Linked DNA regions of Saccharomyces cerevisiae S288C. Changing the gene in region 1 together with any one later gene gives a genetic interaction. Each region holds a gene or a part of one and is shown on either strand. Other genes may lie near its edges.

Region 1 (8,535 bases):
AAGGAGCGATTGAACGATTTGAGACACTCTGCAATGGAATTGAAACCTCCTTCGATGGCAAGCTATGATCGATGTTGTGCACACTTAGGGGAGGAAGAAATAAAATCTAAGCTAGCGCAAGGTATACCTTTCACTGTGCGGTTTAAATCGCCAGAACGATATCCAACGTTTACTGATCTTTTACATGGACAAATAAATCTTCAACCGCAAGTAAACTTTAACGATAAACGGTACGATGACCTTATCCTTGTTAAGTCGGATAAGTTGCCAACCTATCATCTGGCAAATGTTGTGGATGACCATTTGATGGGAATAACCCATGTTATAAGAGGTGAGGAATGGCTGCCCTCTACTCCTAAACATATCGCCCTATATAATGCATTTGGGTGGGCTTGCCCAAAGTTCATCCACATTCCCTTATTGACGACGGTTGGTGATAAGAAATTGAGTAAAAGAAAAGGTGATATGTCTATCTCGGATTTAAAAAGACAGGGAGTTTTGCCAGAAGCTTTGATTAACTTTTGTGCGCTATTTGGCTGGTCTCCTCCAAGAGATCTGGCTTCGAAAAAGCATGAGTGTTTTTCAATGGAGGAATTGGAAACCATTTTTAATTTGAATGGTTTGACGAAGGGAAATGCCAAAGTCGATGATAAAAAATTGTGGTTCTTCAATAAGCATTTTTTGCAAAAAAGAATACTTAATCCTTCTACATTGAGGGAGCTTGTCGACGACATTATGCCTTCTTTAGAGTCCATATATAACACATCTACCATAAGCCGTGAGAAAGTAGCTAAAATTTTACTGAACTGTGGTGGTTCTCTATCAAGGATTAACGATTTTCATGATGAATTTTATTATTTTTTTGAAAAGCCCAAATATAATGATAATGATGCTGTCACGAAATTTCTAAGCAAGAACGAAAGCCGCCACATTGCTCACTTATTGAAGAAGCTTGGACAGTTTCAAGAGGGCACCGATGCTCAAGAAGTCGAATCTATGGTCGAAACGATGTATTATGAGAACGGTTTTTCTAGGAAAGTCACGTATCAGGCAATGAGATTTGCTCTTGCGGGATGTCACCCAGGTGCCAAAATAGCAGCCATGATAGATATTTTGGGCATCAAGGAAAGTAACAAAAGATTATCCGAAGGTTTACAGTTCTTGCAAAGAGAGAAAAAGTAATAATAATATTAATAAAAGGTTTCGATACAATAGGGTCATGTAAATACGTCATATACATAATGTAATTAGCCACTACTGTATACGTTTATTTTGTTATTATGATTAAGCTTGATTAAGTTTAATTAAGTTTAATTGAATTTTCTTAATGAAGCCGACCGAACGTTCTGGAAGAGTTATATAGGAATCGGGTACTAAAAGCGAAATTTGGGGATAAAAGGAGAGATCTACATTTTATTTAAAATACGTCAATTCGACTCACCCTTTAAATACGAAAATAAGTGGTCTAATAAATTTGCAAATTCGGAGATTGATAAGAAATATTTGAGTGAGAGAAAATAAAGAAATGTTTGCTGCAATTGCCTCAGGAAATCCATTGCAACTATCGGTAGAAGTCCCCAATTCAAATGGGTTACAGCATACAATTGTCCTTTCTCGAACGAAACCGAAACTATACTCGCATATAACACTGTTTATATTACCTAATGTTACCTTTCCTCAGGATTATATAGCTACAGTCTATTTCAAACTTAGCCCTCAGGAAGAATTTAAACTATTTGGGTACCTAAGCAGTGAGAAACCCAGTGCCATATTCAAAGTGCAAATACCGAGCTCGAAGAAAGACGCTGGAGATACAAGTGATGGATTAGGTGAGATAGACATGGATGTAGATGATGGTTCGGGGGCCGCTGATCCGTTTACTGACACCAATGGAAGTAGCAGTAATAACATATCAGAATTGATTATTGGTATTTCCATTGAGCCTCGAGAACAAGGAATGATGAAATTAGAAGAGTGGAAGGCCAGCATGAATGCCGAAGCACAAAAGAACAACTCATTGATCTTGTCAAGACCTAACTTAGGAATAATTCGAAATATTACCACGGCAGGGCAGTTGGCACAAGTTTACCCTTCATTGACACAAGAATTGGCCGCCAAAATCGTTCAGCATGCATATAACTATTTATCAGGGTTCCTAGATGCTCAGGGAAACGTGCCCATCAAGAGGTTTGATACATGGTGGGACAAATTTAGAAATAGACTGGCCAACGACGGGACGTTTTTGGATGAAGTAACTAAAAATTAGACACGGATATATAATATATCTCTAATAAGATTCACGAAATATTAATTGAAAAAAATATTATTAATATTAAACTATATATGCAATGACAGTGAAATCAGAGTTCATCTCTGAAATTTTTTATTCTATGAGCCATGGGGTTGCCAAAGATCAAGTGTCTGCTGTCGATAAGTTTCTTATCAAATGAGTCTTGTTCAGTATCTCTCTCTTGGAGCCCATTGTCCAAGTTAGATTGCCTGGCTTTACATTGTTGCGCTAACCAATTCAAAAACCCTTTGTTGATCGTGATGTCACTTTTGAAAATTTTCTTCAAGTTGTAAAGGGTGTCAAAAAACGTTCTTGTATGTAGTTCATCTATACTTTTGTTCTGGACCATCTCTTGGAACTCGTTTGCCCACTCTTGCAGATTTGACGACCAATTCTCAGCATTTCTTTTGAACAAAATTAGATTTGTATCGTCATTTTCGTACATGTCGGCCTTCAAAATTTTGCTGATCAACTCCAGGACTTTTATTTGTAACTGTTTGTCCTTGTTGTTTCTTTCATATACATTTTGTAAAACAACCGTAGAGTATATAGGAAGATCTTCGGATGTGACAGGTAATTCGTTTAAAATGGACAAGTATCTTTTTATTAGGATATTAGAGGATCTGTGGTTAGAATCATTCAAATTTGACAGAGCGGCCATGATTTTGCTTTTAAAATTTGGAAAACTTTCATTAATGAACTCGACTACAGGAGGATTGTTTCTCAAGCAGCTGGTAATGACTCTAGTACTGAGCTCTCTCAATGTTAACGGCAAATTTTCATTGAGACTAAGGTTGGCCAAGAGGGCGAATTCATGGGTAATAATTTTGTAGCCGTGCTTGTAATCATGCGCAAATTCCATTATTCTATCAAAACTATCCTCCAATCTGGCAATGTCCTGTGAAGATAAAGTCGGGTTAGAATCTATGATGTTTCTCATTTCTTTGAAATCACTGGAAAATTCATAGTCACCAGGCGATGCTTTCATGTCTTCTGAAGATACAATTAACTCATGGCTACCATTATCACCGACATTCTTCTCATCATTTAGTTTTGCCTCTTTTAAACCTGTGTCCATGTTTATTCTAATGTCCAAACCACCGGGGAGTTCTTGACCTGGCAGTATGGGCTGCCAATCGTGTCTTGGTTCAAATATCTTAGGATAGCAACGATTATCAACGCAGATCGAATTCCCTGAAATTTCAAGTTCTTTAAGATCTTCTGCAGATATGATTTCGCCTCCAGATGGCACTGAGTGTATGGATGAATGCAATATTGTACTCGCCACTAATTTCGAAGATAGGGCGCTCAAAATTATGGGAAGAATCCGGACCATTCTAAGTTTGCGTTCTTGGAAGTGATATTCAATATCGAGAACTTCCAGCGATGCGAAAACTAGTCTATTATAGTTGCTAATGTGTGCTCTATCATTTACGTGGCCTTTTCACATAGTCTGGTCTTTCTTAATTATCACAATTCCGTTACCCGAAATCTAATCTCGTGTTTAGCTTCGATCTGCGGACGTTACTTCTAACGTCCAGAACACTTCACCCGCTATTTACGTTTTGATCTAGTTGCGGCCTCCAAACCTGCAGATGAATCGTTCATTACATTCTTGCTGCCACTAGTTGGCCGCTGCGTATACAACAAGAAATATACTATGCATTTATGTAACGCGCTTTAGTCAGTAGCCTCAGTAATGCCTTTTCTAAGGTCAGTATGTCAATATCTCTCGGGTGAACCCCAACATTGTTGTTCTTTCTTCGTTGTTTCTCTCTCTTATCATCTTCTGTGTCTTTGCTTTCTTTTGTTCACAATTTCTCGAGAAAAAAAACTCCGCAGGAAATTTTTCACTTTTATTTTGCTTATACTATAAATAGGAAGGTCCCTGAACTGATTTGTTGACAGTGTTGCATTTCGTATATAAAAGTAAACAGTGGGCTGTAACAAACATATTATATATCACTCGCTACACACACAGCTCTAAATAGCTATGTTACTACGTTCTCTTACAAGTGCCTTCGTTTTAAGTGCTGGTTTGGCTCAGGCTGCTAGCAGCAGTAACAGTTCCACACCATCCATTGAAATTAAAGGCAATGCATTTTTTAATTCGGAATCAGGTGAAAGGTTTTATATCCGTGGTGTTGATTACCAGCCTGGTGGTTCTTCTAACTTGACTGATCCCTTAGCAGACGCATCTGTCTGTGACAGAGACGTCCCCGTTCTGAAAGATCTAGGGATAAATACTGTCAGAGTTTATACTGTGGATAACTCGCAAGATCATTCCCATTGTATGAAACTATTGCAGGAGAACGGTATATACTTGATCCTGGATGTCAATACCCCCACGAGTGCTATTTCTCGTTACGATCCAGCCTGCTCCTATAACGCTGACTACTTACAAAATGTCTTTGCCACCATTGATACCTTTGCTGATTACGACAATGTTCTAGGTTTTTTCGCTGGTAACGAGGTCATCAATAGTGTTAATACTACCAACACTGCTACTTATGTCAAGGCAGTGGTCAGGGACATGAAGAAATACATCAAGGCTAGAAAATACAGACAAATTCCGGTAGGTTACTCGGCTGCTGATATCGTCGCTAACAGACAATTGGCTGCTGAATACTTTAACTGTGGTGATGAAGCTGACGCTAGAATCGACATGTTTGGTGTTAATGACTATTCTTGGTGTGGTGAATCTTCATTTGTGGTATCGGGTTATTCCACCAAGATGAAGCTATATCAAGATTACTCCGTTCCTGTCTTCTTAAGTGAATTTGGTTGTAACCAAGTCAAGAGCTCTCGTCCATTCACAGAAATTGAAGCTATCTATTCCACTCAAATGTCTTCTGTATTCTCCGGTGGGCTAGTCTACGAATATTCCAATGAAACTAACAATTACGGGCTCGTTCAAATTGATGGTGACAAGGTCACTAAATTGACAGATTTTGAAAACTTGAAAAATGAATACAGCAAAGTATCCAACCCAGAAGGCAATGGTGGTTACAGTACTTCCAACAACTATTCTACATGTCCTGATTATGAAAAGGGTGTCTGGGAAGCTAATAACACTTTGCCTGCTATGCCAAGTGCTGCTTCTGCTTACTTCACATCTGGAGCAGGTTCTCCTATGGGAACCGGAATCGCCACCCAACAAAGTTGTGATGCTAAGGACGATGACGACGAAGAAGACGACGACACCTCCTCTTCATCCTCTTCTTCCTCTTCATCTTCATCTTCCGCTTCTTCATCTTCTGAATCATCATCCTCGACTTCAAAGGCATCTTCCTCCTCCCCTTCTGCTAGCGAAACGAGCTTGCTAAAATCTGCCGCATCTGCTACTTCGTCCAGCCAATCGTCCTCGAAATCAAAGGGTGCTGCCGGAATTATTGAGATTCCTTTGATATTCCGTGCTTTGGCAGAACTTTATAACTTGGTTTTATGAGTTTTCACCCCCGTTCTTTACCACATTGTTTCTAATTATTCCGTTAGCGCCGCTTACTTTTAATGTTCTTAAGATAAAAAAACATCATTAATATTATTATTAAAAAATTCATATATATACCTATATCTATATGCACTATTTATGCTTCCACTTTTCTTTTCTTTCTAAATACATCATTCCAAGACGTTTTTGTCCATCTTATGTAATGCATCCTTGATGCTTTGCAATTCTACTTTCTGTCCACGAACGTGCAATCCAGATGCAATGTTCTCTAACGCTGATGAGATCGAAGTTGAATCCTCAGGATTTAGTTGTTCTTGGATACTTTTATTTTTTTGCATATGTTGACGGATTTTTTGATATGTGTAACTGATCGGCAGATACCTCTTTGCATCGGAAGCCGCATTCATTTGTGCATTCTTGCAGGAACATATTTCGGGTAGCTTGATTGAATTGTAATTTACGTCAGTTTGTTGTTCATTTAGATCCGGTGACAACGCACTGTTGGAAGAGAAAGAGCTTGAACTACATTTATTCGAAAGTGATTGACAAAAATTCCTACTATGGGGGTCTGATCTACATTGCTTGCAGCTTCCAGGTATCCATGACCCATCCTCTTTAGTGATCGGTCTATTCTCGCTATCGTAGATTTCTTTGTCTCCACAGCATTTCGATATTGATTTCTTAGCATCGGATTCTATTTTCTTTTCTGAACAGCAAACGGGGACTAAGGATGGCATTATGTTATTCTTTTGGTTGCAACATGTTACTGGTTTCATGGCATCTTTATTCCTACAACATTTTATTTTTTTGTTGCCACTGCCTGCACATGCATTGATACTGCTGCTGCATGAAGACAGAGGTGAATTAATATGGCCATCAAGCGATGAATTCGTTGAACTAAACTGTCTGCCGCTCAGATATTGATAATCGTTGGCTATATCAATCTCAGACAAAGACTGGTCTGTTAATACCGCGGGCACATGAGATGTTAACAATGGGCCTTCAGCTTTCCTTTTTTTAAACTGACAGCGCCGATTGGTTTAAAGTTTTCTACCATTTCTAATATCGAAATAGGATTGTCTGGCGGGTTTTCTGGCTGCTGTTGAAATGGAGTATTAACAATCAAAGGCAAGGCTTTTTGCAATTCGTTGTTTAATGCTATTGATTTTTGCAAGTTTTCCTTTGTATCGGAAAACTCAGATTCCAGCAGTTTATATTTCCTTTGCCAATCATCGACCAAATTGTGTAGCATCTCAACCTTCTCTTCCAGAACCTGGATTCTTGTTGTTCTGCGTTCCCTATATGCTCTTTGCGCATCTCTATTTTGCCTCCTTCGCTTTTCCACGCTATCGACACCGTTTTCATCACCACTTCCGTTGCCTTCATCATCAGATTTCCCCTCATGACCTTTTGCGCCTTCGTTCTCATGATCTTTTGTGGTCATTTGGTCTTTCTGGTTGGAAGTTTGAACCTTCTTTATCTTGGACGATCCATCATTATTAGCTGATGCATCCCCGCGCTTGGATTTCGGTTTGCGGCCCGGTTTTAGGCGCTGTGGTAACTCCCAATTCTTGGATAACTTAATAGCTGACGGTCCTGATGTACTCACATTTCCATCTGGTGAGGATGGAGGTGGAGACGTCGTAGACATGGAACCCTGTTTATGCCCCAATTTGAAGCCTTTGGGCTTTACGCTAACTGCTACTACAGACCTTCGTTGTCTCATGATCCATTGAAAGTGTGCGTAAATGACAAAATTTTGTGCCTTTCTATATTCTTTAATTGATGATTTACTTCCTTGATAACGGCTCAACAAACGAAGAGCAATTTTCAAATTTCAAAAGAAAAAACCGTTGAAACTGTTCTTGAGCAACTTTCAAGCCTCTTATGATGATGTGCTACAGATTGAAGTACAGGTGAAAAGAGGAATAACCAATAGCCTTGTTTGCTTTCTACGGTGGGGCAGCGGATTTTCTCTTTTATGCTTATGCTTCTTCTTCCATATATTACTAATTTTTCTCGAGCGAGCAGCTTTACTGCGTGCATTACCGATGAAAAAAATCGCCGATATATGAAAATCCAGCTCATAAGATGCTGATTAAGGAGTCATGAGTGAAAGGACCCTCGTGGCCATCACAAAAAAGACACTTTGCTCCTGTATAAAAAAAAAAATAAGGCGGTAGTTTAGATAGGGTGTCTATTATATACATGCATAATAATTTAGTTTTGAAGGGTCGCTGGTTTTGCCGTGACGTACGCTTCTCTTTGATCTTTTGCCATTGTTGTCAGAGAAAAGAGAACCGATTGACTTTTTTTTTTTAGTTTTTTTTAGTTTTTTTCTTAGGCTTTGATCTAATATCAATCTTTCTTAATGACAAAAGTCTTCGCAGCTTGATCGGCCGGAATGGGAGGTACAGATTTTGCTTCTTCCTCTTCATCTAGGTTGATATCATCTGGCACATGCTCTCTCGAAGCTCTTTGCTTAGCTTCCTCTTCCTCCTTCTTTATTAGTTCTTCTTGCTCCTTCAAAACGTTCAATTTGAACTCGTTATCGTCGGATGTCTTCTTTTCTTCAGCTTCCGTGGCTTCCGCAGAGTCGGTAGGCTCTGCGTTCTCTTTTTCCTGAGATATTTCCTCTGTCTTCGCTGTTTCTGCCTTTTCATTAACTACGACTAGTTTAGGAGTAACCGCAGAAGCGGTGGTAGCTATAACAGACTCTTTTGCGGTGGCTTCTTCCTTCGGTATAGCAGTTTCCTCGGGTTTTTCTTCCGTCTTTATCTTCTTTTCAGCAACT
Region 2 (8,129 bases), on another chromosome or scaffold:
TAATATCAGTCTGGGCTTCTGGCGTCAAATAGTGTACTGTTTCATATTTTGCGTTTTCCAAAGTTATGGACCCATCATTTAGTTTATTGATTAAAAACTGGTCCACGAACTTGACTTTCTTTGATGCAGCTTGAGCCTTAGTGTTCTCTACTAGCTCTGGCGTTGTAGTCACCGCCGGATGTATTAAAAGTAAACCAGTTTTGTATTGTGACATCGATACCTTCACTTACAGTGTATATGCTTAGATCAAATGTGATGAAAGACTTCTGCTTAGAATACCTTTTTAATATGTCATGAAATTAAATGATTACTAATCATTTCTTTTTTTTATTTTTTTTTTCCAGAAGCTTTTGAATAGTATCGGACTTATTCCGGTACCGGGATATGTCAAAAAAAGAAAAATGAGAAACGAATAGATATTTACCCAGAAAGTAATGAATGTATTTAATGAATTACTGAATTATTAAAATTAGTAATAAATAGCGGTTTATATGAAGAGCTCTATGTACGCTAGTATGGCATTACATACCTACTGCAAGTAAAAAAGGAAAAAAATTTGTGACATTTTGTAAATATGCTGCGTGAATTTGCCTAATGAGTATTTTTCCAGAAATTACAAAACACAAATAAGTAGAATGTGTTTAGTGTATTTGTAATTCATAGACTATTTATTGATGCTTATCTATTATACCTGGGGTTTCTGCTTCGTCCTCGTCCTCGTCATCATCGTCGTCGTCGTCGTCGTCGTCGTCGTCGTCGTCGTCGTCATCGTCGTCATCGTCATCATCATCGTTGTTGTTTTCGTTCTTATCTTCTGTATCTTCTTCTTCGTCGTCGTCTTCTTCCTCATCCTCATCATCGTCCTCTTCCTCGTTATTTTTTGGGTACCCACCCAATTTCATAACGATTTTGTTAACAATCTCATTCCAGTCCATCATACCCCCGAGACCAATATCACCATTTATATCCATAACTTTCTCAGACGGCTTGAAAACAGTGACCCAGGACATTTCCTCCTTTATCGTTTGTAGTTGCTTCTTTGTCATCATAGAATTAAAAGTGCTACTCACCATAGAAGGTGCCAAAAGAATGGGATAACTCGGATTCCAAGCTCTAATGACACTTGTCAGAAGATTGTCGCACAGGCCCAAAGCAATTTTTGATAATGTGTTTGCAGTTAATGGAGCTACTACCAGTATATCCGCCCAGCGACGTAGTTCTATATGAAGTACAGGATCAGTTCGTTGTTTCCATGCGTCCCATTCATCTTGGTCGGTCCATAGTTGAATATGTGGGGGTAACTCGACTACTTGAGCCATGTTGCATTGTCCTGGTGTTGGTGTCACTGGAGTTGCCGGAGTGGATTCGTACTGCGACATTTTATTTAGTTTTTCTGAAGATTTGATAATTTTCTTGGTATATCTTTGTTCGAAAAACTGTGTTGCTGATTGAGTGAGGATAACTTGAATGCTTATTCTATCACGTCCATATATTTCTTCTAGTTTTTTAATCATTGGCTTGATCTTAAATACCGATAACGAACCTGTAGCGCCAAACAACACGTGCAATTTTCCATCATCTTGAGGTAGTCTGGGATCCAAATTCTTGGAGTTCTCTCTTTTGGGGATGATGGAAGGAATGACGGACTGCTTCACTGGCGTTTCTTCCGGGGTAGAACGCACATTAATTTGGCCTGAAACATTGTTAGCTTGATCTTGTGCATCTTCCTTTCGAAGTGTAATACTGGTGGGGGCTTTGGCGGTTACCTTATTATTTTCTCTACTTATTGGCGTTGAAGTGGCCATGATTTTGTCAGGCTTCATGGTATCAACTATTTTAAGAGCACTGTCTTTTTTCTTAGGATCATAATCTTTCATTTCGTTGACGAGTGGAGACCCAGATAATTGCGTTGTTCTTGAAGTGTTGGTGTGGTTCGGTATAACTGCATGATTGCCAGGAATGGAATTTGAGACAGGAGCAGGATTACTATTTGGAGACTTGGTCCTTTCTGAGTCGTTCTTCAGCTGAGTCAGACTATCCTGCTTTTGCTGTTGCTTTAGATCACTGAAAGTGACGGCGGGGACTCTCTTCAAACCAGGCTCCGGAGTATTACTTACTACTGCGCCGGAGGTGCCGGTGGCATTCATAATAGATTTCGTAGTCGTGGTAGTAGCATTCGACAAAGTAGGGCTTATTGATTGCCTCCCTGACACGGGGGAGTTGATTATTGAATCCTTCCCCTTCGCATCCTCATGGTCCAACAAAATCTCTTTCTGTCCACGCGAAAACCTTGGACACTCTATAGACTGGTTATGGTCAGCATCTTGCTTCCCGCTAGTAGAGGCGACGGCAGTCATTGCTGTTTGCTTCTAGATCTTTCTTCCCTATTAATTTTTTCCTAACTAATATTTCTTTATATTTTATCCCGGAATATAAAGTAGTATGACAGCAAAGAAGGCCAGGCTAAAAAAAGATCTCTCCAAATGTAACTGGACGGCGCTGATAAGTGGACAAGTACAAGTGAGGGATCGTGATCCAAGAGCACTCTGTGACTTCTTCTCCTCTAATATCACCTCCCCAGAAAAGCATCGATGCCATTTTTTGCAAGAGAAAAAGTTGCGTGCGTCACTGCCCACGAGCACATGGGGTGAGTTATATAACATAAGAATATTGCTTTGACTCATGTTAAAAGCAAAAGAAAAAATAATAATGATCATTAGAGATACATCAAAGACGATCATGGCATTAACCCAGGGTACGTGTGTTAGATATGATAGGGTACCCCGCGCGTATAAGTTACGCCTTGAATGATATAACACGTTAAAGTTTCTAGATCACGTGAATCATTACCATTTTTTAGGTCATCCTACGGATAATGGCGAAACCACATAATTGCTTTGTAGATCTCTTTTTATGCTGGATGGATGGCCCTCTGGAATGCATCCTTCACGAACACAATTTATGAAACCTCAGGTTTGATGCTCCGGAAAGCCTATTTCTCACGTTTTCCGGCACTTAATGCGCATATAAAAACATAGTCTCTACGTTACGAGGATTTATCATAGAACCCAAATCAGCAGTAATAAATTTCCACGGTCAAATTAAACTCTTGTCGTTGATATGGGTGTAGTGTGATGGTGGTGACCACTATTTCGCCTTTATTAGTTATTTATATGAGTTAGCCCTCCGAAGAACTCATCCTTGTTAGCTCAGTTGGTAGAGCGTTCGGCTTTTAAGCGCATTTGCTTAAGCAAGGATACCGAAATGTCAGGGGTTCGAGCCCCCTATGAGGAGTTCTTTACTTTTTTAGATTCGGCGTTCAATGCTAAAGAAAAAAAATGAAAATAAGTTTCAATTAATAGTGAAAGAAAAGGAAGGAAGTTAGAACTGAAATGCGTAGACTACCTCCCCCAAATTTTTTCTTGTTTGGTTGCATTATTTCATGAATTCAACTAAAAGGCTGAAAATGTCAACAACCTTTCATGATTATGACTTGGAAGAGCCATTAACCTCAAATGCCAGACCACTAAAGAACTCCGTTATTACAATCCGAGTAATAAAATCTTTCCCATATAGAAACGTCAAGAACATAGTGCTGCACGATTACGATCTTGCTGATAAAACTGCAAAGGACCTGTTCAATGACGTTTTGAACAAAATTCAAAATGAAGGTTCATTCAGACCATTCCGTAATGTTAAGTTTGATACTTTAAAGATATACACGCACGCACATGGTTCCAAGACGGTTAATCTCGTGATCAATTTTGACCACGATGACGACTGGACTTTAGACATAGAGAATGACAAAAAAAAGCTGTTCGAGTATGGCATTGAGAATGAAACCGAAATTTCGCTTTTCAACAAAGAGGATTACCTAAGGTTTAAAGAAAACCCTGAAGAAAAATGGTGAGATGTTGTTTGGCTTATGGCCTTCATTAATAAGTAAGTGCTATGAATATATTACATATATATATATATATATGTTGTGTACGAGAGTATACTCGTATGTAAATTAACATCAAATGTGTATGTGGAAATGCAGAAGAGAGCAAACTCTCCTTTAAAAAACAACCTGGTTCCTATAAAAAATGTCTTCTTCCATAGTGCCAAATGTATAGTTGCTGAACTCATAATGAGCTTCTTTTATTGTTTCATCAGAATGAGAACTATTTTGATGGTGATGGTGATGATGGCGACGATGGTGACGGCGATGGTGGCGGGAATGTTGGATATCGTTTATGTTGATGAGGGATTCGCGGATAGTCCCCTTTGAGTCGATCTCCCTCTTCATCACGGCTTGGTTAAACTTCAACTTCCTGGGGAATTGTTCCTTCTTTTCGTTCATAAGGTCTTCAGAATCTTCATCTATGGAGGAAATTTTAGTGCATGTAGAATGCTGGTCGAAAATGGAAGACGTGTGAGAATCAACAGACGATGGGCATGAAATGTCTTCTAATTTCACCAAAGCGTTGTCATTGCTCTCTATAGAAGCGTTAATCTCATCCACCTCCTCGGTTACCCAGCATTCCGTATTTTTCTTTAAAGCAGATTTTAGATTTTTTGTTTGTTTCTGGTCAATTTGGTTCTGGACCGGCGATATTTCGTTTTCATTACTATCTATGTTAGTCAAATCTGGACCGTACAACACCGTTACATCGGTTTCTTTGTTCCAGTTGATGGACAGTGGATTGGATTTGGAGTTCTGTAAACCATAGTGATTTATGGACCAACGCCTCCAGAGGCAATGATGTAGCCTAACGAGGTACATGTTGTAATCTAGCACGTCCTCTGAAGAGCAACTTGGTAATCGAAGTAGTTTATGTTTGCGCATCTTCAATAGTAGTGTCCATGAAGCCGATATTTCCAAGCTTGCATCATTAAATTCATGATGGAAATAGTCAATCGCAGGCTTGTTGTAGTTGGTCATGTTATCCAGTAACATTATATTCTGGTACGAAATTATTGTATCGTCCAAACTAGTCATTTTCTGTATATGTATCTATTTGTGTGTGTATGAACACTTGTGTGTAGTATCTGAATGCGATAAGAGAAAGGGCCAAAGTTGAACTGAATGCAAAAAGTAAAACCTATAAAACCGTGTTGACCATACGCTTTCATATATATATATATATATGTTTGTTTTTGCTAAGACCCGGTAACTGTACTTTTTCTGCAGTCATCCAAGGGAAGACAAAAGAAGAAAGAAAAAACAAGATTAATGTCCCCAGGTTTTTTCTTTTCCTGGCGGAAAAAGCTCAAATCTAACATTTCCCCGCGGGGGTTTCTTTGTAAAGAGTATCGAGTCGGAAACGAAAAAAAAAAAAAGATGAGAAAATGAATTTTTCCGGTCGCCTAAAGATAGAGGTACCAGCGGAAAAAATGCAGCAAAAGCAAAATACCCCATTCAAGTTCCCCCTGTCTCGCCCCTCTCACGCTTCACTGTCCCCCGCTTTCGGTTTTTCCGGCTACGGCATTTCTGTTGAAAGTTGCCGGAAAAACCCCAAAAAGCATAAAAAAAAAGAGCGGGGGGAAGAAAAAAAGATTCCTTTCTATCTTTTCCTTCCCCGGCCTATTCGGGTACTCGCTTCCGGGTCCGCTGTCGTTTATAATGATTAGTGCAGAGAGCTTTCTTCTCTTAGTTTTTCATGTGGTAAAGGCAATGCCATTTAGAAGGATACTACGTGGGGTTCAAAACCGTGAATACGTTGTCTATCGTGTTATGTATGTTCTGAGTTTCTTTTTGTCATTCTACTAGTTTATGGACTGGGACTATGTATCTTGCAGTATGATTTCGTCAGGAAGCTTGTCATAGCAAGGCCTGAACAAATCGTACGTTAAAATAAAAATGAGCACCAATTCGAGTCACTGATGCCTACTGCTCAATCCAACCATCTAGTTCTGCAAAGATACTTACTCCGCATAATTAAAAAAATAAGGTATTTTAAAGTTGTGTAGTGACGAATGTAGTGACGCGGAAACGTTTTACTCGTCAATGGACATTTGCGAATGTGTCCGATAAATAGTTGAGGCTTTTCCTGCATTCTGTCAAGAAGGGTATGTGTATGAACATGCAAATGACACTGTAAAATGATTCATTACCCTGATTATGGAGTGATTTTCTTTCCTTTTTTTTTTTACATTTAGTTTCATTATTATGCAAATTAGAGGGTATACAGTTGAGATTTTAACACTTTGAATTAAAAAGTGTTACAGAGGAAACCGACGCAAAAGGCTTGGTGACGCAAACTTTTCCATCTTTATTTCACCTCTTCAGACGGTCCTAAGACCTTTTGAACGTATCAATATAGTTTTATCATCTGTTCTCTGTTGTTCTCCGTTACTAAGATATTAGTCAGCTCTTGAAATTTCACACCCCTATTTATTTGTCTTAGCGTCCAACCCCTCTCAACCCTTTTCCATTTCTTGTATAAAGGTAGTTAATTAGGTAACGCTGCTCTTACCATCACTACAGTGCTTACGAGAATTTACCCAAACCCTGCGCAAGATAAATAAGAAATGTCGAAACAGTGGGCGAGTGGTACAAACGGAGCTTTCAAAAGACAGGTTTCGTCCTTCAGAGAAACAATCTCTAAGCAACACCCAATTTATAAGCCAGCAAAGGGAAGATATTGGTTGTATGTTTCACTTGCATGCCCATGGGCCCATAGAACACTAATTACGAGGGCTTTGAAGGGATTAACCTCTGTTATAGGATGTAGCGTAGTCCATTGGCACCTTGACGAGAAAGGATGGAGATTTTTGGACATGGAAAAGCAATTGGAGGACAGTGAAGATTTTTTGGAACATTGGCACGATGTTGCAGGTGGTATTAGAACTGCTAAAGAGGATTCCAGCAAGAGCTTCGCCGAGATCAAGAATGACAGTCAAAGATTCATGGTTGATGCTACCAATGAGCCTCACTATGGATACAAGAGAATCAGTGACTTATATTACAAGAGCGATCCTCAATACTCGGCAAGGTTCACCGTCCCAGTCCTGTGGGACTTAGAAACCCAAACAATTGTTAACAACGAAAGTAGCGAAATTATAAGGATTTTGAACTCTAGTGCGTTCGATGAATTTGTCGACGACGATCACAAGAAAACGGACCTTGTTCCTGCTCAGTTGAAAACACAGATCGATGACTTCAATTCTTGGGTTTACGACAGCATCAACAATGGTGTATACAAGACCGGATTCGCAGAGAAAGCAGAAGTTTACGAAAGTGAAGTCAACAACGTATTTGAACATTTGGACAAAGTGGAGAAAATCCTGAGTGACAAATATTCCAAATTGAAGGCCAAATACGGTGAAGAAGATAGACAAAAAATCTTGGGTGAGTTCTTCACTGTGGGTGATCAATTAACAGAAGCTGACATTAGATTGTATACTACCGTCATAAGATTCGATCCTGTGTACGTCCAACATTTCAAATGCAATTTTACCTCTATTAGAGCCGGATATCCATTTATTCATTTGTGGGTAAGAAATTTATACTGGAATTATGATGCCTTCAGGTACACAACAGATTTTGACCATATCAAGTTACACTACACGCGTTCCCACACAAGGATCAACCCCTTGGGAATTACGCCCCTGGGACCCAAGCCAGATATTCGTCCTTTATAACAAGCTGTAATTAAATAATCAAATGTCTATAATCTCCCTGAGTTGCCTCTTTTTCTATACTCAATTGGGTAATTGACGCGAAACGCGTTAAAGTGCAAAAAAAGGCCTGGAAATTATATTTAACGCAATGAAATATTTTCATAATATGACATTCATGCACAGCTGTATTCATTCTTCTACTTTGTAGTTTGTTATTCTTCTTTATCGGTTTCGTTTTACAAAAGATTTTAGCAAGGAAGCAGTTTTTAAACCAATCAATGGTATACACAACACCGCAACAACAGCAGAGATTCAGCTCCACACCGCAATCTAGCCACACTCTTATCTTCTCGCCAATCAGAGCCCCTTCAATGCAAACGCCCTCCTCATTGGATTACCAATCACCTTCAATTGTTGTGTCATCGTCTTCAATGAAGGTTCACGGCCGGTCTTCCAGTTTCGGTAAATTTTCACTGTCTATTGGGCAAAATGGTAAGGCTACAATACTGGGGCCTATAAAC
Region 3 (7,626 bases), on another chromosome or scaffold:
GGGTAAGACAAGATAACATTCATGTAATCGAATAGTGAATTGGTGTTTCTGATATTGTTGAAGAAAATCATGCAGTTTCTGTAGCCATCCATGGCAAAATTTAATGCCTCTTGAGCGTACTCCTTAGCTAGGATATTAGTACCAGGATCTTCACTGCCCATTGGTTCATAATGAGTAAACAAAATGTAGTTCAATAAGTACAGCAACATTCTAATTGTCATATGCTTGGAAAAGAATAGAGCTCTCGTTGTAGATTCGTGAGGAAGGTCCAATTTCTTATCTATATCACTACTAGAAGTATTTCTTCCATCAGCATACAAGTTTTGGTTATGTTGACCATGGTTTAGAATATCGGGTAGTTTCGGTAGACCGTAAATTTCATCATTATTTGAATCTACAGAACCACCTTCCGAAGTTGGTAATAACCCTTTGTTGATCAAGGAGCTCACTACATCATTGACATTCTCAGTACCATAGGTCAGATTTTTCAATAAATTAATCAATGAATCCAGTTCAAATTTTCTCACGCTTCTTGCTAAAGAAACATTCAAAATGTGATTTAATACAGCAATAATACACAAATCAATTTGGAAAAAAAGAGTAAAATTCTTCACAATGATTAACTCTTTGATATCGCGAACATAATCAATCCTTGACGCACTTGGTAGCTTTGTATCGCTGAAATCCCTCAGATTTCTTAGTAGTCGAGGGCTCCCCAGGGAAAGAGATTGGTTAACATCCATGCTAACAATGTAATACCAAATTTTCCTCCAAGTGTGTTTAAATCTTTCGATACTAACCTGATTTTCCTTCTTGTTCACAGGGTTAGAACCACTTCTTGAATCAGCACTGCCAGATCTGCTACTGCTGTTGGTAGTGGCAGCAGACATGTTGTTATTCAAAGTTGGATTGGTGCTAGGGTTTGCCTTTTTGCTCCCGTTGTTAGACACGTCCTGGCTGGTTGCTGGAATGGTAGCGTTTAATTGAGGAAAATTATCAGGGTCTCTGTGTAACCCACAACTAAAGGCCATTTGAGTAATATTGGACAATAGGATCTGGTGAGACTCGGAATCGTGACCAGGATTGGCCATGCCAGTGTTGTTGGTATTTGTCAAGGTAGTCAAATCATTAGAGGCACTTTTCATATAGAAGTTGTAAAAAATGGCAAACTGCACCGTGGTTAAATTAACGTTGTTATTGGAAATACTAGAAAGTTCATCGAATTTAATCAAGTATTTTTGACATAGCTCCAGTGCCTCGACCGGTGTCTCATGCTTTAGCAGAAGTGATTCTTCTTTAGCCATCGAGGTCAATGCAGATGCAGACATATTGCTAGATTCGTTGGGCACTAAAAATGAGCCACTTTCTTCTCCCAGGTCGACTTCGCAGGAATTAGAAGGTATGGATAGCCATGTCAATCTCAAGATTATTATCAGAATACCTAAGTTACAAGAATCGGAAAGTTTTGGAAGATTGATTTGTGTTATGGGTTGGTTCTCTAGTGTAGATGAAGATGGCATGCTCATACCAAAGTTGTTAACTGTGGGATTCATCGAAGACAACGAAAGCATTTGATTCACGTGATTTTTGAAATTCTGTTCATCTAAGATTGGAATGGCAGGGTATAAATGTTTGAAGAATTTCTCGATGAATAATGCGATGACGCGCTTTGGTGGCAACATCTCACAAAGTGTTGCGAGGACTTCAGATTCTGTCATGTAGGAATCATGTTTCCTGCTTTGTGCGGGATGCGAACGAGCATGAGATCCGGACTGTGGTTGGTGGTGTGGGATGGTATTGTGCGTTGAAGCTGGTAAGGCCGCTGTATTTTTCATGCTTGAATGGTCAATGGGGCAACGACTTGCCGGGTTCGAAGAAGAATTTGCCATGTCAGAGGGATAATCCTTCATATAGTTTCTATGGTCCACAGGACATTTTGACTGAGGCGGATTCATTGTATGCTTGTTATGGTCTATCATAGCTTTAGTGGAAAATGGGGAAGGTGTCTCGTCCTTGGGCGGCATCATTCCTGCGGAATACATGGTGTGGTCAACGGGACACCTCTTCTGGGACGAAGTGTCCTCTCTGGGAGGAATCATTCCCGAAGAGAACATGGTGTGGTCAACTGGACATTTCCTAGGAAGAGGAGTCTCCTCCTTTGGGGCCACCATGCCAGACGAAAACGCGGAGTGATCAACAGGACATTTTCTGGTAGCGGCGGCAGCGGCAGAAGGCGGCGCTTGCGCGTGATTGATGGGACATTTGCTTGACTTCAGCTTAGAGTACGAATTTTTTTGGTAGTACCATTCATTTAACTTTTCCCTCATAGCGAAGATATGACCCCACAAAAGTTTTAGGTACGGGTCACCTTTCATGATAGACAACCAGTGGGTGGCACCTAAGTGGATGGTTCCGTTACTTTTGATATGCAAAAGATCAAAGTCCTTAGTTAAGTCCAGCTCATCGTTGTCATATTTATTTGAGATAGAAAGGGACGAGGAATTCGCGTTGGCGTTCGCACTTCTGGAAAAGTCTTGTTGTTGTTCCTGTTGCTGCTGTTGCTGTTGTTGCTGATGCATATGCGAGGCAGAGGAAGCAGAGCCTGTATTTGCATTAACAAGGGTGGTGTGTTCATCGCTACCCATAAACAGGTTGCTGCTCTCGGGAGTGTTGTAACTTTTCAAGGAGTTAGACGAAGGAGAAGAGTGCACCTTAGAAAGAGTCTTTTCTAAAGATTTTACGCGCTCCCTAAGCTTCTTTAATTCGTTGTCCTTCAGCAATTCTTTCTCTGCCTCTTCTGCCCAGGTCTGTTCCATGTAGTGGCAGAGATGGGCTACCCCAGTTTTAGTGCACTGCTGGCAGTGTGGTCTGAGTTTGTCACATTTGACTTTCCTTTTCCGACAAATGGTGCAACTGAGCGGAATTCTGTTACGCTTCCTCTTGATCTTGGACGAATCTGAAGACATGTGCAAGGGTGGAGAGTTAGAGCTGGTGTTGGCACCGGGCGTAGTTGCTGTATGCATGTTAGGACTTCTTGAGACCGAAGACTGGGTCATGGATGCAATGGAAGGCACAGATGAATTATAAGGGGTATTCGACATCTAACCTATTGTTCCCTTTTTTTTTTTTTCTTTTTCTTCTATTTCCTTACCTTCTTGCCTGCGACTGGAGAAAAACTAAAAGGCCAAATTGAAAGGGAAGAAAAATTTTCTGCGAAAACAAAACAAGATGCTTTGATAAAAGGAAGTTGATGGAATGAGGTTCGATGAGATGAAATCAGATACAATTTTGTGCAATATCTTCAAACCTTAAAAGAGCACTGCAGGAACCTATTCTTTGGGAGAACAATAGCGTCTGTGTGCTTGCGGTATCTTGAGTTGTGAGTCTCAAATGTGTGCTTTGCATCTCGAAGAATAATAGAAAAAACCGAAAACCGAAAAAAATTGTGCCTCAAGAGTATATCCGATATATATGAACGCGATCGAGTTACCGGGGCCGTTGCTGGTGCCGTTGCCTGGTATTCTAAACGAGGCCGCGAGGGTGGATTTCGCCCGACGGGTGAATGGGTGTGGGTGGAACGAGGATTGTATCGTTTAGACAGCCGAATTATTACCCGGTTACTCAACAAAAAGGGGCAAGCCAGACAGGTGCAGTGGCTCAGCCGTACAGCTCGTACTGTGGTTTGCTAATGCGCTGGGCGGTTGTTGAGATAAGAAGAAGAGGGAAAGGGAAAGGAAGAAAGAGGAAGAGAGAGAGAGAGAAAGGGCACACGAAATTCAGGATACGGCGGAGGAGTTATCTTTATTTTATACGGTCTTGCCTTGTAAGGCCCTACTCAAGCGGGAACAAGAAAAACAGTTGTAGCTTCCACAAGATGTTGGCTATAGAGATTGTTCTGTGCTTAAAGGCTCGCTAATCAATATTTCTTGAAGTACGATTTCTGTGTGTATAGATTCTCCACAATTGTTTTTCTTAGTGAGGCTCCGCCACGATCGCGTCTTGCCATCATCGTCCATCCATGGAAAAGAGCTACAAAAAACGACTGCTGGTGTACATACAATGCTCTGGGTTTCGTACATTTGCTTACTAAGTGACAGAAGCGTTCATCGATCCTTCGAAAAGGGTAACAGCGGAAAAACAGGAAATATTGGCTACATACTATAACTCAACAACGTATCATGAACTATTCCGCATATTCGTAACCTTATTTGTAGCGCAGTAAAGCCGCTAAAGAGGTCTTCTCCTATCGGATCTTGCTTTTTTCTTCCTTTTTTTTTTTTTTTTACAATAGAACAATAAAAAAACTGAACGTTCTCTATATCATCTGTGACGGCAAGTATCAATTATTTTATCAATTAGTTTGCAGAATCGGGAAAATTAATAACATTAGAAATGAAAGTTTTCATACATAAATTTGCAATTAAGGATGAAAAAGAGGGATAATAAGGGCTACAACAAACCACGAACGGCCGAAAGAACAATCCTCGCAAATTTAATTGGAATATCCAAGGGACATATACGTGCAACAATTGCGACTTTCCTATGGTGCCGAATTTGGATTTGGAAACAGCTATACAGATAATCTCCTCACTGGAGACCCAGTTGAGCGAGCTTGAAGGCGCCACGAAAGAATATGAAAATGATTTGGAACAAGTAATATCAAAGTTAAAAAGCGATCTTCTTGAGAGCCAACAACAAAATAAGTGCAATAAGAAACAGATAACAGATTTAGAGATACAGGTAGATGAGTTGGAAAATGAAAATATCCAACTGAGGAATAAGATAGAGACATTACAATTGGAGAGTGACCGACGACTGGAACGCAACGTTCTACTGGAACACGAGTTACTCGACACCAAAGAGGCGCTGCAAAAGTTAAGAGTCAGCAAAGAAGAAGCCACTAGCGGTGAGACTAGAAGGAACACCAGGTCGTTACCCAGTCAAAATAAAAAAATGAAGTTGTTTAAGGATACTATCAAAGTCTCGACCACATCTTCAACCTTGTACTTGCAGAACATGGCAAAAACTAACAACGCTGCAAGAAGTCACTGTAATATTCCAAATACCCAAATAACACAATCCACTGTGATAGCAACAACGTCTTCCGTTTAATGACACATATAAAATTGTTATATATAATTTTACGTATATATTTACAAGTAGAAAGAACGCTAACGATTTAAGATGACAACCAAGTCTTCGGAATAAATTTTTTCCACCACAACACAAAATCATAAAAATACAATTGATTAATACGCCTCTCATAGACTATCCAGTTTGTCAAGTTCTCCCACATCCATTTAATAGACCACCTCGCATACTCCGAATTAATTCTTTCCACTTTTTCGTCGTAGACCGTCTTGGCGCAGTATTGCGTCATGATCAGGAAAGTCCTCTCTGGCCCGAGTGGATTCTGTAGACATTCATCAAGATGTCTGGTTAGGTCGTTAGTCTTCAATATCAAAAGCACTACACGAGGGATTCTAGACAAAATGCTCATCAAGTCGCTCAGTAACGTTCCTTCCAAGATCCCATTTGCCATGACGTCCATTTCTTCTTGTGTTCGACTCGTTGAAATGTCGTAATTCAAAGCAGCATCAATGCTACGGCCCGTAATTGCAGCCGCTAAAAGGGGAAACTGTTCGTCGGTGATGTTTGCGAATCCTTTGGCATACTTCTTCATTTTTGTCTGGTCCTTGTCGAATAGGAGCGACAACCAAAATTTGGCATAAAGTCTTCTTGTTCTCGTGCTAGGATATCTATAGAGTCCGTGGTCAAATAAAACAATTTCAAAGTTATGGTATCCATTATCTTTAGCGGGCTTAACAGATCGTATGGCCAGATTTCCTCCATGAGGATCACAATGAATACCTACATTGGGAGTAAAAATCATGTTATTGAAAATATGAGAGAGACAACTCGAAACTTCACTGCGCGAGATACCGTGACTGTCAATGTACTCCAAATCATCCAACCTTTTGCCTCCAACATATTCCATAATCAAAATTCTTTTGTGGCTTTCAATGACCTTGGGTATTTTCAATGCTGTTTGCTTCTTGAACTTACTAAAATAATGACGGGTTTTTTCTGCATTTTCAGCTTCTTTGGTAAAATTCAGTTCCACGTAGATTGAAGACTGAAGCTCATCACCAAGCCACGTTAACGGATAATCAGGGAAGAAGACATCCAGCAGTTCAAACACTGTTCTTGTCAGCATAACATCTAATGGTATAAACTCCTTCAACGATGGATGCTGACATTTGACAGCTACACTAGAACCTTTACCGTCACTATTTTTTAGTTTTGCCACATGAACCTGTGCCAAGGAAGCTACACCTATCGGGGTTTTGTTGAATTCTAAAAACATATCCTCAATGCTGGTGCCTAGATCTTCTTTAAATAACTCATCAATTTCTTCGTAGGTGGATTCGGGACAGTGGTCTTGCAACGGTATCATTGTATCCGTCCATTCTTTAGGCAACAGGTAGGTCATGGCCCCAATGTGCTGGCCTAATTTGATATATATCCCACCATTCGATCGTAGCGCATGCAACGTGATTAAGGCACACATCTTATGACATTTATTTAAGGCAACTTCTCGTTCTTTTTTGTTCTCATAGCTTTTATTTAGAGCCCTCTTGTAATGGTAGAAGCAACGAGTGGTAGCTTGTGTGACGACAGCGATTCTTTTAGTCGTCAGTGCCGTGTGCTTTACAGAATCATGAAAAGTGTCATTAAAGTTGTACAAAACTACTGCTGATGCAATAGTCCCACCCACCAGAAGAGATTTTCTTGTCCTGGGGCTTCTTTGAGGGATGCTTTTACCTGTCCTAACGTACCGACGGAATACCTCAAACGGTAGTTTGTTAAAAAAAGCTTTGGTCATCATCTACTATCAACACCGAATAAGAAACATTCAACTATAATCTTGCTCCGTTTCAGGCTCAATAAACTTTCAGACTGATTCTTTCCAGTTACGAAGGTAGGAGTACAATATGCATACATAACGCAGCGATTTACAAGATATGTTCCTCGGGTCTATGTTTTGACCTCTTTTAACGGCATATGAAAAAACCTTTGAAAAAATGAAATATTATATAAAGGTCCAGAACCCACAGTGGTACTAAAAGGCCCACTTAAGTCTCACACCTAATTAAACACCTTTGCATAAACGGTAGCTGAAGAACAACAGGCATGACCGCAATAGTGAAATGTTAGCTACTATTTCCTCTATAAAAGAAGTACGAATGTAATTAAATAAATTGTTCCTGACCAAGCACATCTGTAAAGGAAAAGCAGATTGCTAGCCAACTTTGGTGACTCAAATATTTATGAAGTTGGTCTGCTCTCTGCCGAAAGTCTATTAGGTATATGCTGTTCCAGTACCCCAAGGAACAAGGTCTGATAAATATGCTAGTTGAATTCCAAATATTTTCAAAATCAGGATTTCTTATCCAGTTATTCGACCACGGGTGGATAATGAACAGGTACCTTGTCTTTCTCCATAACCTTTGAGTTTTTATAAGATAAGTAAGTGTTCCAAAATATTGCAACGACATTAACAGCTAGTAACCTATGTTGTAAAGGAACAACAGAAAAGTTAATCGCTTGGAAAAGTGGCCAAAC
Region 4 (8,200 bases), on another chromosome or scaffold:
GAAACTTCATTGAAAGAGAAAATTGATTGGCAAGCTAAAAAAATTAGCCATAAAAATGAGACAATTGCTGAAAATCGGGAAGATCTCAAGGCAAAATTATTAACTCTACAATTTAGACCAAAACACGTAGAGGAAGCCATGCTTTATAAAGATCCATTGTCTTTCTTATTGTTTAACTTACCGGAAGATGATTTACCACCATTTTTTCATAAAAAGAAAGGTGATACAAAAAACAAGGTTGAAATAACAAACCTACCGTTATCAACTAGAATGATCGTTGAGCGTTTAACAGAAATTGGTGTCTCTTCAGATGAAGCCTTATTGGCTTTACAACAAAACGATATGAATGAAAATGAAGCGGCCGGGTTCTTGACGAGGGAAATTTTACCAACTTTAAATAGCAATACGAATGAACCTGTATCAGAAACTGAATCTATAGAATGTTGGAACCAAGAGCTAGAGAGCCTAGAGAGCATTTATGAGGGCTGCGTGATGGACGCCAAGGAAGATTCACACTACACGCTCAATTTAATTGAAAAACTCAAAATAAAATTGAAAGTATATAGAACCAAAAATTATCCTGCATCATTACCTGGTATTGTAGTTTCAACCTTTGATAAAAATTACAAGCTACCTGATTATATTAAGAAACAAATATTAACCAGGTTACTGCATTATCTCCAGGAAGGAAATCTAATAGGCGATATGTTAGTATATCATATTTATGAATGGTTGAAAGAGAATATATCTAAGATAATTGACAACCCTGGCCCATTAATTCCAGATTCAGATTCGAAAGGTGCAATAAACAAAAGAAACATTTCAAACGGTAAGAGAAGTATAAATAATTCTAGTTCGAGAAAATTCACAAAAACCACCATTTCTGAAGACACGCTCTCTGTCCTAAGGGAAGAGTACACAAAAAGGATCAAAAGTTCTGAATACAAAAGTATGCAGTTAGTTAGAGAACAACTGCCTGCCTGGAAGAAGCAAAAGGTTATTATAGATATCATCAATAAAAACGAAGTTGTATTGATTACTGGTGAAACAGGTTCGGGTAAATCCACTCAGGTCGTTCAGTTTATACTAGATTTCTTACAGAAGGAAAAAGGAGATTTCGGTAAGACTAAAATCGTATGTACGCAACCCAGAAGAATCTCGGCTATTGGGCTTGCTGAACGTGTTTCTGATGAACGCTGTGTAACTTGTGGGGAAGAGGTAGGTTACGTAATAAGAGGTGTCAATAAAACCAAAGCTTCCACACGTATCAAGTTCATGACCACAGGTGTTCTTGTTAGGTTGTTACAGAATGCTAGAACTATGTTAGAAAACACAATTGTTGTTATTGATGAAGTTCATGAACGTTCTATTGATACTGACTTGATAGTGACATTGATGAAAAATCTCTTACATAGAGTTCGCGGCATGAAAATTGTTTTAATGAGTGCTACTGTTAACGTTGACTTGTTCAAAAAATTCTTTCCGGGGCTAGCAACATGTCACATAGAAGGACGCACTTTCCCCATCACTGATTACTTCTTGGAAGACATTCTTAGTGACCTTGACTTCAAGATCAAGAGAGAGAAGGCTTTGTCTTATGATGATGATAGCGTTGATGAAAGAAATAATGACGACCAATATTTGAAGCCGAGAGCAGATTCTAAGTTTTTTACATCTGGGCAAATCAATTATGATTTGCTTTGTCAAGTGGTTGAATATGTACATAAACGCCTGAAAGCTGCTAATGACAACGGATCTATTATCGTTTTTTTGCCTGGTGTGGGAGAGATTAATAAGTGCTGCAATTTGCTAGCTAATAAATCAAATGAAGCAGATTTTATGGTTCTACCCTTGCACTCCGCTCTAACTCCTGAAGACCAAAAAAGGGTGTTCAAAAAATATCATGGGAAAAGGAAAGTTGTTGTATCCACAAATATTGCTGAAACATCTATTACTATAGATGACTGTGTTGCAACTATTGACACAGGCCGTGCCAAATCGATGTTCTATAATCCAAAGGATAATACTACAAAACTAATTGAGTCGTTTATTTCAAAAGCTGAAGTTAAACAACGTAGAGGTCGTGCTGGTAGAGTACGTGAAGGTTTATCTTACAAATTATTTTCTAAAAATTTATACGAAAACGACATGATATCAATGCCAATTCCAGAAATCAAAAGAATCCCGTTGGAATCCCTTTATTTATCTGTTAAGGCTATGGGTATAAAGGACGTTAAAGCGTTTTTGAGCACAGCTTTGGATGCCCCTCCTTTACCAGCTCTGCAAAAGGCAGAAAGAATATTAACAACGATAGGACTTGTTGATGAGTCCGACAAGTCACTCACACAGCTAGGTCAATTTATTAGCCTGATGCCTGTCATGGATAGTAAGCATGGTAAATTACTAATATACGGCATTCTGTTTGGCTGTACGGACATTTCTGTTTTACTTGTCTCGATACTCGGTATTGGAGTTTTGCCTTTCATCGGAGGTTTTGAAAATAGGGAAAAGATAAAAAAACTGCTATGTAAATATGAAAGTCGTGGGGATTTATTTGCAGTATTGGAAATTGTCAGAGATTACTTCAAAATCAAAGATTCGAGCATCAAAAGGAAATATTTGAGAGACAATTTACTTTCCTATAATAAAATTAATGAAATTAAGTCATCAACAGCCCAATATTATTCTATTTTGAAAGATGTAGGCTTTCTACCAATGGACTATAAAGTTGGAAGCATTTCTGATTTGAATAGGAACGAGCGAAATTTTGATATCCTAAGGGCCATTCTCACGGGTGCGTTTTATCCACACATAGCCAGGGTGCAACTACCAGATGTAAAGTATCTATCAACAAGTTCCGGTGCTGTTGAAAAAGATCCTGAAGCCAAAATGATCAAATACTGGATTCGAAGCGAAGAGTATCAGGACAAATTAGAAGAATATAAGACGAAAATTTCGCAAGAGACGCAAAAGGTTGATTTGGAAGATTTACCGTTACCTGCTACTAGGGCATTCATTCATCCAAGTTCAGTCTTATTTTCAACCAATTCAGTAAACTTGGAAGACGCTAAGTTACTCTCTGAGGTGGATGGTCCAATATCCCGTCAATCCAAAATACCAACCGTTGTAAAATACCCATTTGTTTTGTTTACCACGTCTCAAGTTACTAATAAGTTGTATTTGAGGGACTTAACCCCAACTACTACATTATCATTACTATTATTCGGAGGGGCAATCTCTTATGACATTGGAGGTACTATTCATTCACCGGGCATCGTTGTCGACAACTGGCTCCCAATTAGAACCTGGTGTAAGAATGGTGTTTTAATCAAGGAACTGAGAACACAACTTGATGAGGCCATAAGGAAAAAGTTAGAAAGTCCCGATTATGCTAAAAAATCTCAAATTGATAATTCTGGTGCTGATAAAACTCTAAAAATTGTTGAAAAAATTATAGCTTCCGAACAATAGTAATCAGTTCCTACTGTAGTCCCTGTATAATAATTATCATCTTCATTTTCGAAAAGGAATTTTTTTAACATATAGAAGTGTCAAAGTATAAAACACTAACAAAAATCTAAGAGATTATTGCGACTGCGTGTTTTTCTCTTTGCTGAATCAGGGCTAGAATCCCGTAAACTACATAGCACATTGTCTTTGCCATATTTTAAAAATTTTGTGGCGCCGTCAAAATAAAAAAAAAATACTGAAGGATGCGAGGTTCGAACTCGCGCGGACAACCGTCCAACAGATCTTAAGTCTGCCGCCTTAGACCACTCGGCCAACCCTCCGTCGATAATACAACAACAAGGAAATACAGGATACGAACACCATCCAGTTTAACTTGATTAATCTTTACGCATGCATATTGCTACATCTTTTTTATTCTGCAATATACATCTGTTTATATCTCATTAATGTTGGTAAGCCTCTGAAAAATTTATCAAATACTAGTACAATTGTTTACCAACATCATTTTCGTTGCTAGAAAATTACTATACACCGTTAAGAAAAGACATAAATCATGAGACTAATAGAACAACACTAGGGATTAGCCAATTTAATGGGAGCTGAAATGCAGGGATTAATTATGCAATTACAAAATGAATGGTATCGTTTGAAATGAAAGAAGAAACACTAATATTATAACATAGAAATATCGATTTCTTCCTGCGAATTCCCATGTCCTCGTTGAGAACTTCTAATATGTTTTGTATGCCTAATATTATAGCTTTACAAAAAAATAGAATCTCAACAATTATCCCACAATTCACTCATGTCATGCTGCCTCTCGCGTATTTTTTCTTGAAACCGATGCTAGTTTAGTTGTCTTTCGGCATCAGCTCTAATTTTTTCAAGAATAGTATCTACAGAGTCAAATTTCATCATTCGGAGAATTCCGATGAATCGGCATCGTCAGAGAAGCTATATAAGAAGAGATAAACACATTTGAAAGATAGGATATACTTTGAAAGTGTTCTGGTGACCACTATATCACTTAAGTAATACCTAACAAAGCAATGGTACAAGAAATCGATTTAGGTTTGACATGTGATATGCATGTTCATGTAAGAGAGGGTGCGATGTGTGAACTAGTCACCCCCAAGATTAGAGATGGTGGGGTTTCAATTGCTTACATCATGCCAAATTTACAACCTCCAATTACCACACTAGATAGAGTGATTGAATACAAAAAGACACTGCAGAAACTAGCTCCTAAAACTACCTTCTTAATGAGTTTTTATCTTTCAAAAGACTTAACTCCAGATTTAATTCATGAAGCTGCCCAACAACATGCCATTCGTGGAGTAAAGTGTTATCCAGCGGGAGTAACAACAAATTCGGCTGCTGGGGTGGATCCAAATGACTTCAGCGCATTTTACCCAATTTTCAAGGCTATGCAAGAAGAGAACCTGGTATTAAATTTGCATGGGGAAAAACCTTCTGTCCATGATGGAGACAAAGAACCTATTCATGTATTGAATGCAGAGGAAGCCTTTTTGCCAGCCTTGAAAAAATTGCATAATGATTTCCCAAACCTGAAAATAATTCTGGAACACTGCACTAGCGAGTCGGCAATAAAGACAATCGAGGATATAAATAAGAACGTGAAGAAAGCCACTGACGTAAAGGTTGCTGCCACATTAACGGCTCATCACTTATTTTTAACAATTGATGATTGGGCCGGAAATCCGGTAAATTTTTGCAAACCTGTTGCGAAACTTCCAAATGACAAAAAGGCTCTAGTCAAAGCTGCTGTATCAGGGAAACCATATTTTTTCTTTGGATCTGATTCAGCACCTCATCCTGTACAAAATAAGGCCAATTACGAGGGTGTTTGCGCAGGAGTTTACTCACAATCTTTTGCGATCCCTTATATCGCCCAAGTTTTTGAAGAGCAAAATGCCTTGGAGAACTTAAAGGGCTTTGTTTCCGACTTCGGAATTTCCTTTTATGAGGTTAAAGATAGCGAAGTGGCTTCTTCAGATAAGGCAATATTATTCAAAAAAGAACAAGTTATCCCTCAGGTTATCAGCGATGGCAAAGACATAAGCATCATCCCATTTAAAGCAGGTGATAAACTAAGTTGGTCGGTGAGATGGGAACCTCGTTAATATGCAACAATATGTAGGCTCATTTGAGAGTATAGACCATATATACATATTTATGGGAAAAATAAACTTACCTTCCAATAGAAGTTATAGATGCCATCATCATGCCTATTGTTATGGTCCGTATCTCTTTACAGAAGTTCACAGCCAAATGCGTTGATATGGTATATTTTTTCTCTTCAGTTTTTTATCAAAAAATGCCACAACCTTGATTTAATCTTGCATACTAACATCCACATCTTGAGCTTTTTGCTTTTCGTCATTGCTTTCTTCCTCATCACTTTCACTACTATTATTCAGCACTCCAATCATCTTATTGTAAATTTCTTTATCTTTCGCACTCAATTCATTTAAGGGCAAATTACCTGAGTTCTTCTCTTGCAGCCAAAAGAAGTACCTTTCGTTGGATGAAAAAACTAAAGCAAATATTCTGCCACTTTTACTGGATTTTATTGGAACCCACATGGTCTCTCCAGGAATTAAAATCAAAGAAATAGGATCAAGTTCCCTCCCGACCGGCTTTTCCGTTGGACGCCACTCGAAATCCCAAAATCCCAATTCTTCCTCTTCATTTGGTTTGATCTCGATTTCACCCTGAACTGGAATTGGCGTACATAGACGTGAATCTTCGTTGTATTCACAAACACCAGCCCTGAATTTAATTACAGTTGAACTCATACTCATCAACACTCTTTTAAAATTTATAAGTCAACCAGCACTTAGGTAGTTTTCTGGCACCCTTATAGAACCTAATCTACTGGTCATAGTAGAGTATTTAGTAGCAAAGCTTTCGCCACCTCGCGAATAATATATCACGAAATACGGAGGAATTTTAACTGAAATATATCAATAACGCATATCAAGGAGGGGATGACTTGATGAGTTGAAAATAATATAAATGGTTCAAGCAACCGTTTGTACACCACTCAGTCAATTATTGCTTCAATTGAAATTATAGAGGACCGAAGATTAGTCATATAAAACAGGGGTCTTTTTTTCTTTAGGGAGATTACTATTACAATGTCGCAACAGGATTCACAGCGCTGGCTGCCCACGGATCGGCTAATATATGGTGTGCTAGTCAAATCTTTCCTTCCCTTACAAAGGTATCCTGAGCTGGTATATGAAAACAGCAATTATGCGAACGTTTATGTGGGTGCAGAAGTTTACGTCTTCGAAGAATCTGTGGATAAGAAATGGTGTAGAGCGTACCAATGTTTACGACCCTTTCCTGAAGAATTCATATCGAATATGAACTCGGCGAATGATGTACTGCCAGACGTGAAACCGAAAGTAGTGATATTTCCTAGAAAATATGTTCATTTTGAAGCAGAAAAAGCCGTCAGCACAATGCCATTTTTCAAAGCACCTAGTGCTGAGGATTTTAAACCATTGATAAGTAAAGAATGTGAGTCCCGCTCCTTTTGTGACAGCCTATATGTTAGCTCTACTGATGATATATCAACTGGTAAACCAAGAAAGACACCGAGACCTCCGTTCCCCTTTTTCAGATACCAAAAGAGGTCCTTTAAGGACGAAATGGGTCCTATATTATCTCTTATTTCCTCGCATGTTTACTCTATGTATTCAATTGGCGAGTTTTCTATATATAGGAAAATGATAAAACTTTATTATGATTTGGACACTATACGATTTAGATTGTCTATGAATTTAACCACAGAGGCTGAGAAAATAAATCTGATAAGAGCAGCAACATCCCTAAGAACTAAAATCGCAAAATTTTTGTCCTCCACATACAGGAAGAATAAACTAATTGCTAACTCTACTCCAAGAAACCCAGATCCTTATGGTTTCGAAGGAATTTTTGCCAGGGATATTGATACTGGCGAATTGCTCTCATACGAGATCGACAAATTAAGAACTTTAGTGTCATCGTCAATGCTTTGTGGTTTAACTAATAATTTTCCTACTGTACCTGTGGTAGAGTCCGATGATGAGTCCTCATCTAACGGACTATTCGGCACAGTTAGATCGAGCATTTTGGTTAACTTGAAAGATCTGGCATGGGATCCCTCTATATCAGATCCTAAATATCAAGATCTTTCTATTTGTGTATACTTGAGAACCAAAGACGAAGTTTTAACAGAGTCTTTTACCATGACGAAGTCGTCCAATATGGAATCAGCTCTAGATGAAATTCCTGCAATGTTATTCAAGAATATTTTGGAAACGATAGTCCATAAAAATAAAGTATACTTAGTAGTAGTGCTGAAGGAAACAATAGCAATTACAACAGAAACTGCTCCGGAAATTTCATCTTACAATATATCTACCGAAGAGTCAAGTTCACATTCCCCATTTTCTCCATTTAATTCATCGACTGAGAATAAGATTGACCACGTAAAAAAGGGCTTAGCTGCCGGAGTTATTAACATATCTCCGGTATTCAAGTTTTATAACGGCCTATCAGTTGCGAATAAAGCTCAGAGGTTTAACCTTTATCTTTATAGCTCCGATTCCTCGGATTCGCAAAACTTCAACTCTTCAAAGGATGCGGATTTAGGTTGGGGCGGGTTAATAAATAAGATAATAAAAGATTCTTCTGAAGGCGTTTCTGTGAACCCTAG

Evidence for each region.
Region 2: mutations in GAS5 (region 1) and ECM4 together harm fitness more than expected from each alone (negative genetic interaction), as found in Saccharomyces cerevisiae (one large-scale study listed by BioGRID).
Region 3: mutations in GAS5 (region 1) and NDL1 together harm fitness more than expected from each alone (negative genetic interaction), as found in Saccharomyces cerevisiae (one large-scale study listed by BioGRID).
Region 4: mutations in GAS5 (region 1) and URA4 together harm fitness more than expected from each alone (negative genetic interaction), as found in Saccharomyces cerevisiae (one large-scale study listed by BioGRID).

The regions. Positions count from the first base shown.
Region 1 is NC_001147.6:263,904-272,438, forward strand, and holds GAS5 (1,3-beta-glucanosyltransferase), read left to right. Parts: upstream 1-4,283; coding exon 4,284-5,738; downstream 5,739-8,535. Other genes in the region: glutamate--tRNA ligase MSE1, read left to right, coding at 1-1,182; OPI10 (Opi10p), read left to right, coding at 1,526-2,266; SIL1 (Sil1p), read right to left, coding at 2,361-3,626; YOL029C (uncharacterized protein), read right to left, coding at 5,912-6,517; YAP7 (Yap7p), read right to left, coding at 6,730-7,467; ribosome-binding protein MDM38, read right to left, coding at 8,100-8,535. UniProt on the Saccharomyces cerevisiae protein: Splits internally a 1,3-beta-glucan molecule and transfers the newly generated reducing end (the donor) to the non-reducing end of another 1,3-beta-glucan molecule (the acceptor) forming a 1,3-beta linkage, resulting in the elongation of 1,3-beta-glucan chains in the cell wall.
Region 2 is NC_001143.9:575,767-583,895, forward strand, and holds ECM4 (S-glutathionyl-(chloro)hydroquinone reductase), read left to right. Parts: upstream 1-6,516; coding exon 6,517-7,629; downstream 7,630-8,129. Other genes in the region: electron carrier DRE2, read right to left, coding at 1-214; phosphopantothenoylcysteine decarboxylase complex subunit SIS2, read right to left, coding at 669-2,357; YKR073C (uncharacterized protein), read right to left, coding at 2,421-2,741; AIM29 (Aim29p), read left to right, coding at 3,443-3,910; YKR075C (uncharacterized protein), read right to left, coding at 4,061-4,984; MSA2 (Msa2p), read left to right, coding at 7,887-8,129. UniProt on the Saccharomyces cerevisiae protein: Active as '1-Cys' thiol transferase against beta-hydroxyethyl disulfide (HED), as dehydroascorbate reductase and as dimethylarsinic acid reductase, while not active against the standard GST substrate 1-chloro-2,4-dinitrobenzene (CDNB).
Region 3 is NC_001144.5:641,890-649,515, reverse strand, and holds NDL1 (Ndl1p), read left to right. Parts: upstream 1-4,542; coding exon 4,543-5,112; downstream 5,113-7,626. Other genes in the region: HAP1 (Hap1p), read right to left, coding at 1-3,101; YLR255C (uncharacterized protein), read left to right, coding at 3,563-3,916; CQD2 (Cqd2p), read right to left, coding at 5,180-6,889; SYM1 (ethanol metabolism protein), read right to left, coding at 7,459-7,626. UniProt on the Saccharomyces cerevisiae protein: Required for nuclear migration to the bud neck during cell division.
Region 4 is NC_001144.5:959,265-967,464, forward strand, and holds URA4 (dihydroorotase), read left to right. Parts: upstream 1-4,520; coding exon 4,521-5,615; downstream 5,616-8,200. Other genes in the region: YLR419W (RNA helicase), read left to right, coding at 1-3,471; proteasome regulatory particle lid subunit RPN13, read right to left, coding at 5,826-6,296; guanine nucleotide exchange factor DCK1, read left to right, coding at 6,633-8,200. UniProt on the Saccharomyces cerevisiae protein: Catalyzes the conversion of ureidosuccinic acid (USA) to dihydroorotate, the third step of the de novo pyrimidine biosynthetic pathway.